Linked DNA regions of Drosophila melanogaster. The protein of the gene in region 1 interacts with the protein of each later gene in a pairwise test. Each region holds a gene or a part of one and is shown on either strand. Other genes may lie near its edges.

Region 1 (5,414 bases):
CAGCTGCACCTGCTGGCCCTAAAAATAGATCCAACCAGTTGGCGAAGTCAAGACCAGAAGGCCTCGGAATGGTAGACACTTTAACGAGCCTATCAATTTAAAGACACACACTGTCCGCGCAACGATGTAATCGATGTGTTAATTAGCCTAAGCAGGAACAGGGATCAACCTACCTAGAATCGGAGTGGATTTGAGCCTATTACCAAGATTCTGGATCTGAATGTTTGACGCACAATTAAAAGCCAACTTGATTGCACGGTTCATATTCCATGTCACAAGGGATTTGCTTTCAAATTAATAAGGCCCTGACACAGGGTTCAAAATTAATACTTGTTTTAATGCCAGCTCTATTTGCTGCAAAAAGTGGCTCTTCAAGGGAGTGAAATACATCATACAAATGTGCACTATTAATTAAATAAAATAGCGTTAATGCTAATTAACACATGCTAAAGTATTTTTTACGTTGGTATATTCGGTTTGACAAAGAACGCCATCATCTATCAACTATGGGTGTTAGTTCAATTAACTTTAATCACCATTGGATGTCAGGCCTATTCCAATTACCAATGGCCAATTGGCTTTTGACAGAGGCTGTTCTCTCTCTGCTTTGGCCCGATATCGTTTTCCCATTTGACAAAATAATAATCGCGTGTGGATCACTCTTGACTTCCCCCCCATCGCAAGCCCCTTATTACATTATTATTATTATTATTGGTACTCGTCTGCATGTCTGGAATTTAATTTTTTCTGGCATTTACAAAACACTTCAACCCGTTTTGACAAGAGTCGGCGATGACAGCAATTACCATACGATTTGCATGACGTTTATGTTTATTTTCGCTTTGTATTCCCTTCCAGGCGGCAATCGTGAATATTTTGCCCAGCCTTTGTGTTCTTTTGGCCAAGTCGAAAAGAAGCCAACCTGCGAGTGCTCAGGTTGATTTCGATTTTGACAGCTGCCTGCCTGACTCACTCCACTGGGCTGCCTCGCTGTTCGCATTTTGGCTGGATTCGCATTTCATTAGCTCGTTATGGACCACCTACGGCCAGGCCGGGCCAACTGCTGACAGAGGAGCACCCTCTGATCCCCACCCATGGTTTCGTCCATTTGGCAGACCCACAGCGAAGCAATTAAGCCGCCTGGCATCGAACACAATCCCGTCCAATGGGGCAATTTAAGGTATTTACAAAAGCGTAAAAAGGTAAGGAAAACAAGACTGGCTCCTCCCAATCAAAACATGACGAATGCCACTCGAGGCCCTCTCCGAGATGTCAATCGTTCAAGTTTAAGTCGATTCGACCGAGGAACGCTCCGCTCCTTCCTCCTAACTGACCGTAAAATGAAATCTTTAAGTTCTTCAAGGGAACTCTGCAGCTTCGGATGAGAATACATACATATATGATATACTCTTGTTAGGGTTTTTTTTTTTTTTATTGATATTTCATCGTTGAATATGTTGAAGCAAATGAGCAAAAATTGTATGAGCCACATTGAGAACTAGTGAAACTTCAAGTGGGAAATTTAACAGAAGTATACTGAGAAATTTAAGAAGTCTACACACTTGAACAGCTTTCATGGGATATACATGTTTTCGAAATGCGATCTTTGTTTTAGGCAAAGGTTTTTCCGCCATTGTCGTCGGCAACGTCGTCGTCGTCGTCATCAAAGTCCTTGTCCTGAATCTTAAAGTAGGTCATGGCGAAGGTGTCCTTGGCCGTGGACACTACCCGCAACCAATCACGCAGGCTGACCTTCTTCAAATACCGTTTGGTCAGATACTTGAAGTAGCGCTTGGAGAAGTGCACACCGGAGTGGATGATCAGCGAGAAGTTCTTGGTGCGCTCGAAAGTGACCTGATCCTTCAGCTGGTTGAGCTTGTTCTTTATCTTGATGTGGGTCTTCAAATACTGCTCGAAGTCGGCGAGGTCCAGGATCATATCCTCGGCCACGCATGCGCAGTCGATCACAAAGCGTTGCCAAGCCTTCTTTTTGGCCAGCCTTTTTCCACGCAGAACATTCTTCGTGCGTTTCGGCTTGGGCTTCGGATTTGCCGGAGTGGCGAGGCTCTTTTTTACACTTTTAGCTTTGGCTGCTGGAACCTCGACATTTTCGGCTTTTGGTGCTGCGGCAGCTTGTTCCTTGGGCTTTTCTTGCACCAGGGCGGCCTTTTTGGCGGGGACAACCGTGGGTATTTCCGCATTGCCACGTTTAGGAGGCGCAGACTTTTTCTTATTGTCCACCTCAGGGGCAACGGGTTCCGGCACTTGCATCAAGTTCTTGCGTGAAGCATTCTGGCCTTTCTTCGCCTTCGAGACCAACTTCTGGTCAGCAGCTTCGGCGGCCTTCTTAGCCGATTCTTTCATGGCCAAATCGAGATTCTTTAGTGCCACGGCCGGAGCTTTGGCCACCTTTTTAGAGGACAAAGGCGGAGCCGCAGATGGGGTGGCGGTTTCTACAGGAGTCACCTTAGCCGGGGCTTTCTTCGACGGCTGTGGGCCCGCCTTCGATTTGGCCTTGGAAGCATTCTTTTTCTGCGTCTGGGAACTCATTCCTATATGGCAAAACATGAGCACACGCCTAAAATTTTGAAACAATTAACTTACTCCAAAGAAATTAGTATCAAAAATAGGTTTAGAAACACCACGTGACTTCCTCCGTTGAAGTTTGGCAGGAAAAGAATTAGAGTGGCCAAGTGTAGCAACAATCAGAAAGTAACTGCATTTGCGATCCGTGTGACCTTGCTCACAATCGACTGTGCTTACGTAGAATGCGAATGCCAATTATTCGATTATCTTGGGCGGCATGTTTGTGAAAAAAAAACAGGAAATCTTTAAGTGAAATCACGAGAAATGAGTGTGGAGCAGGTTGGGATGTTGACGCTCTGATTTAACGCTGATTAATTGGCACGAAATTATTATTACCGCTTGTCAGCCGGGGATCAATTTGGCCTTGTTTGTCGTCTCGCCTCCAGTTCGGCCTCAGTAATTTGTAGTTTTCATATTATACCAGCTCCCTTTTAAGCTCTTTTATTATAGGGTATTGTGGTGGATCGAAATCGATTTAAACTTGCGCACACAGGTTCGAGATAAGTTACCAAAGTGGAATCCACATGAATCCACAGAGATAGCTCAACTTTTCCCAATGCTAGGCAAATTGAATTCCGAAAGCCTGTTTAAAGTGTCATCACCTTCCACTCTCTTTGTCGGCCAGTTCATTTATTTCCGAGTTGTACAAACATTTAGCTATCGCTTCAATATTTTTTAAGCCACAAGGAAATCCCTAAATTGCATAACATATCGCTTTGCAACGAGCGCCATTTATCAAATTCAAATGAAAGAGTTGGCCACCAACTGGGATTTGGGATTGTGGATGGGAGATGCCACCTCCTATCGGCAGGAAAAATAAAAAATAAAAACAAAAGCAAAAAGTGCAAGCCAAAGTGAATTCCCGCGGAGCGTTTAATCAAAACTTACCGGCGAACGCGTTCGCTGACAATGAGAAATTGCAACAAATTCGCGCTACATCGAAACCTTCTCCCTCGTGCTGTCTCTTTCTGTCTCGTTGCAGCCGTCTCTTTCGCTTGCCACTGCCAAGAGCAAACAAGGCTTAAAAAGGATGGCAGGAGGGGCGGGACAGGGGTGTCGATGGCAGCGCAAACAAAGCGTCGCGGAACGTCCAAAGAAATGCAGCGATCACGTATACGCACCCCTGGCCACCGAAACATAACCCAAGCCCATCTATCCACCTTCTCATACCCTAACAGAGGGTATTACTATTCAAATGGACTTTGGATCATCCTAAATTGTTTATAATAAAAGAAGAAACCAAAAGAGTGAGATTTAGGGCGACTTTGGTACATTTATATGACCTTTCCATACTCGCAATAGAGATTGGAGAAGTCAACCCTAGGGTATTTCGGGTACGTACCACTGTTTTTCCAACGCCGCATGAAGCTCCTGCAGTTAGGATGCTACTCGATTTCCCAGCCGCCGACTGGATATTGTTTTCTGGTAGTTTTGGTTCTTTTTTTTTTTGGCGGTTTTGTTTCGGTTGCGGATATGAAAAATGATGCCGAAACGATTTTTACAACCAAAAGCGCTCCCAGGCGCAGCCTCTTGCCGCGTCCTCCTCGCGGATTCGGAGATGCAGAGATTCGGAGGCAGGTAGAAGCAAGTGGAGTACCTCCCGCTCACTGCGAGCACTCGAAGTTGATTGATGGGCCCGGCATTGGCGATTGGGCGATGGGAAAACTGCAACGGTGGGCGTGACGGCCCTCCGCCCCCTGCGAAAAGTGGGAGGAATGATCGGCGGAGTCGTGCGGCTTCTGGCCCGAAATCAATCTGGCTAAACGGTAGCAAATGGGCGGATGGAAAGCGGAAAATGGGATTGGCAGTGCGGAGGCGTCTTTGGCCTGGGAGTTTGCCTCGTTATGGATGGCAACGGCTGTCCAGGGACATCGATCACTTCGACATCAGGTGGGCAGGCAGGCAGCACGATCTTGCGAGGAGTCCAGACGGCAGTCATGTAGAGTGAAGGGGCGGAAAATGCTTTTAAAATGGTCTGATTTATACCGGGAATTTGCGTGCCAATTAAAATGATCTATGATACATATGTAAACTAACAGATTAATATATGGGTTATTAATATTTTTCGATATTTTTGCATCTAGAATCCGTTTTCTGCCTAGGAAAATGTTTATTTGTGGCTGAATTAATGGGTCCCATGGGTGGTCCCAAACCAATACCAATAAAATACCATTCGAATAGATCTTACCAAGCTCTTAACACCTTTATTGCCATAAATTGGCAAGCTTAACGAAACTGCTCAGGCTAATGAAATGCAAACCGCCAATTGAGATAGAAAATGCAAATGCATGGCCCAGCAGAAAAGAGTTGCCAATCTACCAGCCACAATATACGAGTGCTCTAGTTGGCCAAAAAAATAAGGCGAAACGATTACCAACTGACTCAGCCAGGCCAAAATTGGCAATGTGCCAGCCAAAATAAACAGTTATTGAGTTGACTGTTTGACACTTCCCGCTGCGATAGCCCAGGGAAACTGGGAACTGGATACAACACCTGGTAGGTGACTCCACACCCACACTACATCCGATTCCTTTCCCGTTCCAGGCGCTCTATTAATTAAATTAATTTCCAATATAAATTCAAATGGGCAAAGCGTGCCCGCTTACGAGTTCTAATTGGGCGAGTGCGAGTCAATTAGCGGCAAGAAGGCGGGAAAAGCGGGAAAGCCCGCCCATTGTGAGCCAGTAAGTCAGGATTGTCGGAGTTTGAAGTTGCAGAATGGAAAGTCGGTTGCGGGTGGCGAGACCTAATTGTTTATTTATGGAAAGGCCTTTCGCAACTCTTTTGCGTTTGGAGCAAGGGAAGGGGAACGGGCACACATTTCATTA
Region 2 (5,802 bases), on another chromosome or scaffold:
GGATTGGGGCTCCGTGGCGGTGTCCATGGGCGATACGAAGGTACTGGCCCAAGTGACCTGCGAAATGGGACCGCCGGCCTTGTCGCGGCCCAACGAAGGCAAAATCCACCTGAACGTATATCTTGGCGGTGTTGCTTTTCTGGACGAGGCGCATACCACACATGACCAGCGATCGCTAAAACTGAACTCCCTGCTCGAGAGGACCTTCCGCAGCTCTAGAAGCATCGATCTGGAATCTCTGTGCGTGGCCGTCGAGAAGCATGTGTGGTGCATCCGTGTCAACGTCAATGTGCTCAATCACGACGGGAATCTGTATGGTAAAAGCACCAATCTCAAGATGAAAAGCGTGATTACCTCACAAATGATCAAAAGCTATCAGTTGGAGCCATACTTTGGCCATACTTTCATTTTTAAAGAATAATCTTCATATTAGTTTTATATTTTTATATATCTATATATCTCAATTCTTTCTTATAGACGCCAGCACCATAGCCACTTTGGCTGCATTGATGCACTTCCGTCGACCGGATGTCTGGTATAAGGACGGCGAACTGCGCATCTTTAAGAAAAAGGAGCGCGAATTCATTCCACTGCTTTTCCACCACTATCCCGTCAGTGTAACCTACTGTGTTTACAAGAGCAGTGTGCAACCAATACTGGATCCTACGCTGCTGGAGGAGAACGCCGCCGATTCGGTAATTGTCCTGAGCTTTAACTCCTTCCAGGAGCTGTGCAGCCTGACTGCCGGAGGCACTGCACCCACAAATGCCCGCATCATCATGCAGTGTGCCCGCAATGCGGCGGTTCGTTGCAAGTCTCTGTTGAATTTCGTACGCAAAGCTTTGGCGCTGGACGAAGAGTGTCGATCGCAGGGCGATCAATCGGTCGATGGGCTGGTGGCACTGATTTTAAATACGGAGCACAAGTTGAGCTACAACAAACTGATGGGCAGACAGAAACAGGAGCAGCAACCTCCGCCAAGCGAGAAAATGCAGTTGGATAATAACGAGAGCAGTGAGACGCCTGTGGCCAACGAAGAGCCGTCCAAAGAGGAAAGTGCTGGCGCACCGATGGACACCAGCGACTGGCTGCCACACGATGAGGACTCCCAGGAACTGCCCATGCGCTCGGAAGCAAGCCCATCGAAGGCAGGCCTTAAAGGCAAACAAAGTCGCGGCAAATACAAGGCGAACAAAAAGACACCGCCGAGGAAGCAAAGTAAGTTGGCAATCATGGCTGGAGTCCCATTAATAACGCATTGATTCTTCTCCAGATCACAGCGACTCCGAGGAGGAAGCCAAGCGATACATCTAGCCGTTGTGATAGTCGTGTAGTTAAGAGAAAATGCTTTCTATTAAGTTTTATTTAGGCTTATATGTATGGCTAAAATCAGTCTAGGCTTTAACATAAATCGTTTAATGCGTAATTCCAATTGATTTGTGGAACCGATGTTCGTCTAAGTTAGGCTTAAACTAGAGCTCTAAATATATCTCCAAACCGCCGGGGCAAACGACACGATGTTTTAGTTTAAATATTGCAAATTATTTCGTTCGTTATTTCTCTGTTTGTAGCGATAATTGGTATTGGCTTCCGGATTCAATTTGCTTTCACATTGAAGTCTAATTGTGTTTTGATTCGCTTAAAGTATCTGGTTACTACTAACTGATGTCTAGCCAGAGCCCCACTTCACTTAACATGATGTATAATACAAACGATCAAATAAACATGTCTTTAAGCCTAAGAATACGAATTGCTATTTGATTGAGTGTGTTGTGTTTTCTGTTAATTCTCTTGTAAATTTACATAGTTTATTTAATGTAGTGCGTGTATAAAGAGCTATTAACAACGGACCAAGGCTACAAATAGTTTTTGTAAATTTCTTTTTTAATATTAGACTCACTTTCGCAACATACTAGTTTATTTATTTTTAATTTTTGTTTGTTTTGTTTTTCGTGGGAGCACCAGTTGCCTTCTTCCTTACGTTCTTTCATTGCTGTTTTACTTTTCGCATATTACTTGTGTTCCGGGGAGTCGGGGGAAAGGCTTAAGGGTTTGGGCAGTGGTGGCTTATGGGTATAGGATTGGGTTTCTTGGGGGTCACACGGATGAGGATGAGCCATTGCACTATCAATATTCTCGTTCATCCCTATTCTGGTCAACAATGCCGACGTCCAGCAAATGCAGCAACAATGTGAGAAGTTTGGTTGTTAATTTCTTTTGATCGGCAGTTGGCCAGCGTTAAAAGGAGTAGACGTCGTCGGCGTCCTCCTCCTCCCTCCGCCCGCCGACGCGCCTTCAGGTGGTGTCGTTGCCAAGGCCGTTCTTCTGGTCCAGCTTATTCGAGCCCATCTTCACCATGTACACGAAGAATGTGATGATCTCCTTCTCCTTGATGGGTATTGTCTTGAAGTGTTTCATAATTGTCTGCGGGAGAAGAGTAGAGGTTTGCAACTTGATTAAAACAGGGTTTAGAAAACCTTATAAAGGGCATGGCACATTTTTCTGCCTTTTCTTTAGAGTGGAGGCTACTACAAGAGGGCCAACTATGGAGCATCACGGAGCACATTAGACCAGCGTGTTACCCCACTGAAATCCGGCAACAGAAAGTGGACATAGCCTGCTCAATTCGTTAACTAGGTCAAACTTACATCCGCCAGCTGCGCCCGCTTCATGCCCTGCCTCGTTTGGACCTTGAAGTGGCGCTTGTAGCGTCGCAGCGTGCTCACGCCCAGCTGGTAGAGATCGGGGAACTCGTGCAGGTCCGTGTCCGTCTCGTTGCTGTCGTCCTCGCTGTCCTTGCGCCGACGCTTGGTGCGCACCGACTGGATGCGCTCCTTGTGGTGGTCACAGATGTAAATGTGCTGCGCGGCCGGATCGCTGCTGAGCTTGAGCCGCTTTTGGGCCACCGTCTTCTGGATGCGCTTGGAGTAGCTGGCGTAGCCAGCCTGGTTGCGACACCGCTCCATGTCGTCGATTAGGCAGCACGTTTGGTCCGTGTGCCCGCGACTGTCCTCCTCGCCGGTGCTGAATCCGTTGTTCATCCTGTTCCCGATCCTGGCCGATTGCTTTCGAGTTCCTATCCAATCCCCCTTCCTGCTCTGCTTGCTGCTTCTCTGATTTTCTCCGTTTCGCTCCTTTGTCTCCTCTTTCGTCTTTCTCACTTTCGACTATTGCTTTGCTTTGTTTCTCTTTGCAAGAAAAAAATTTTCTTTCGACAGCGCGATGTGACCAAACTGGGAAATGGGGAAATTCCTCCGCAGCTGGCAAGAGCGGACAATTTGAAACTGTTTGCAGTTTCTCAAATATCTTAAATATCAAGTGCATTTTTTTCCAGATTATCGATCAATATTTTTTAATTGGTATTAATAATCGCACAAAATATTAATTAAATAAATATTAGTTAATTTCAGTACTTAAATTTAAAAATACCGTGTACCAAAATATAGTTACCTTTTCCAGCATTGATTCCAATTCCGATAGGTACCGCACACCGGTACGATAGTTGAGCCAATTACCGTTTTTGTCATCACTAGCTCACGTTAGTGCAATGAAATTTGAATTTCCTTTTTCTCAGGCGTATCTGACTGCTTGTCTATATAGAATATTATTATACTCGTCTTCAGACCAATTCTTGATTGTAGTTTCTGAGACGGGGGACTAACAAGCATATATTTGTTAAATGCATCGACGCAAGGAATTTTCACCGTAGTGAGTTGGAGAATTAAACAGAATCATTCAAAAAGACTGGGAAAAGGAATACGCAGAATTTTCTGCAAATAAACAACGGGGTTACTGCAAACTTTTCCCAGGCACATTAAAAAAAATCTTAGCTATAACGTATGTGACAATTATATTTTGAATAAATGAATAATAATGTGACCAATGTAACGTTTTCGATAACGTATCGTACATCTTATTCAGTTGTTGCAGTACAACACTGCTAGGCAGCAATTTCCAGCCCTGGAAAAATACCAAAAAATCTACCATCTCTCCAAAAACGAAATCATAAACGCTTACCAGGGACATCATCGATTTTCTACACCAAATTAAAAGAAACCTATAAGTTATAGATTTGCTACACCAAATTGAAATAAAATCAATCTCTTCAACCTTAAGTCCTTGGCTATTTCCACGTACACGAGTGTGGCCAAATAATTCCACGACATTTGCGGATGTCGCGGTAACCTAAAACACAAAAAAAAAAGAGATTGCAATATTTCGGAGATAAAAACCCTCAAAAATGCCGCCTGGAACGCAAATTGCCAGCGACAGCGATATGGAGACCGCTCTGGAGGAGTTCAAGCAGCGCCAGGGACGCCGCAACAGCATCGGCTCGGCCAAGTACGCGTGCAGCATGCCCAAATGCGAGGCCACATTCAAGCGGCTGGACCAATTGGATCGCCATGAGTATCATCACACAGGGATTGTGAGTATAGTTAGAGTATGTTAAGTGTAAGCCAGTAGTAACGCCGCCACCACTTTGCAGAAGAAGCACGCCTGCTCGTACGAGGGTTGCGACAAGACGTACTCGATTGTGACGCACTTAAAGAGGCATCTGCGCAGCACCCACGAGCGTCCGGAGTCGGCGGCCAAGAAGACGGTGAAGTGCGCGCTGGAGGAGTGCAGCAAGATGTTCATCTCGGTTAGCAACATGACCCGCCACATGCGCGAAACCCACGAGAGCCCAAAGGTCTATCCGTGCAGCCAGTGCAGTGCCAAATTCTCGCAAAAGCTCAAGCTGAAGCGCCACGAGATCAGGGAGCACACGCTGGAGTATCCGTACAGCTGCTCGAAGTGCTCGCGCGGCTTCTACCAGCAGTGGCAGTGCCAGAGTCACGAGCCCAGCTGCAAGCTGTACGAGTGTCCCGGCTGCCCGCTGCAGTTCGACAAATGGACGTTGTATACGAAGCATTGTCGCGACTCGTTGCACGGCAAGAATCGCCATAAGTGCGACCGCTGCGATAGTGCCTTCGACAAGCCGAGCGAACTGAAGCGTCACCTCGAGGTGAAGCACAAGGAGGCGGCGCAGACGGATGAGTGCGCCACCTCCTTCACCTGCAACGAGGAGGGATGCGGCAAGAGTTACTCGTACCTCAGGAATCTACGCCAGCACATGCTCACCGCCCACTCGGGCAGGCGTTTCGAGTGCCAGGCCTTGGACTGCGGCCGCTGTTTCAGCAGTGCGCAGAATCTGGCGAGACATCTGCTCAGGGATCACAAAGATGGTGCGACGAAAAAGGAATTGAAAGCCAAGAAGAAGGACAAGAGTAAGACTGGAGAAGGGGGCAAAACTAAGTCCACATCCCGCAAGCGACGACGCGATGCTGGACGCAGCAAACATTCGAGGCTATCCAAACTGGCCTGCCTGCAATTGGACAAGGAAGATGATGAGGCGGTGCGCGAGCGACAGCCTTTGGTCCTCGAAAAGATCACCCAGTCGCTGAAGGATGACCCCGTCGAGGAGCTGCTGGCACAGACCCTGCAGGATGAAGAGGAAAAGGAGCAGGAGTAGAGCAAAAGGCCATTCAAAGGGACGGGAGTGAGAAGGTCTGGTCAAGAGGCTAACAATTGAATGACTACTTTAATTTAAACCACAACTTCTAAAAGAGAAACAACTAATTTATCAGTAAATACTTAGGATTTGCGTTCAGAAACATCCGAAATTGCATTAATTTGCATAAATTAGTAAGCTATTATTAGTAGTATTCGCCTGGAGCGAATTAGTTTATTTACTTTAAGCTTACAGTTGCAAACATTCCCTGACTTCAACTAGAGTTCCGAAACTCTCGGGCATCCAGAGAG

What was found. The genes of interacting proteins can lie anywhere in the genome.
Region 2: the proteins of RpL22-like (region 1) and Sap30 interact in a two-hybrid assay, tested with the Drosophila melanogaster proteins (one large-scale study listed by BioGRID).

Annotation. Positions count from the first base shown.
Region 1 is NT_033778.4:23,245,174-23,250,587, forward strand, and holds RpL22-like (ribosomal protein L22-like), read right to left. Parts: upstream 2,721-5,414; 5' UTR 2,605-2,720; intron 2,553-2,604; 5' UTR 2,551-2,552; coding exon 1,612-2,550; 3' UTR 1,437-1,611; downstream 1-1,436.
Region 2 is NC_004354.4:16,785,189-16,790,990, reverse strand, and holds Sap30 (SIN3-associated polypeptide 30), read right to left. Parts: upstream 3,709-5,802; 5' UTR 3,451-3,708; intron 3,307-3,450; 5' UTR 3,042-3,306; coding exon 2,649-3,041; intron 2,425-2,648; coding exon 2,296-2,424; 3' UTR 1,347-2,295; downstream 1-1,346. Other genes in the region: Rrp45, read left to right, coding at 1-317, 478-1,218, 1,274-1,314; CG9609 (uncharacterized protein), read left to right, coding at 4,241-4,426, 4,487-5,512. UniProt on the Drosophila melanogaster protein: Component of the class 1 Sin3A-histone deacetylase (HDAC1/Rpd3) complex (HDAC). Appears to be a non-essential subunit of this complex which is not required for cell cycle regulation of progression through the G2 phase of the cell cycle.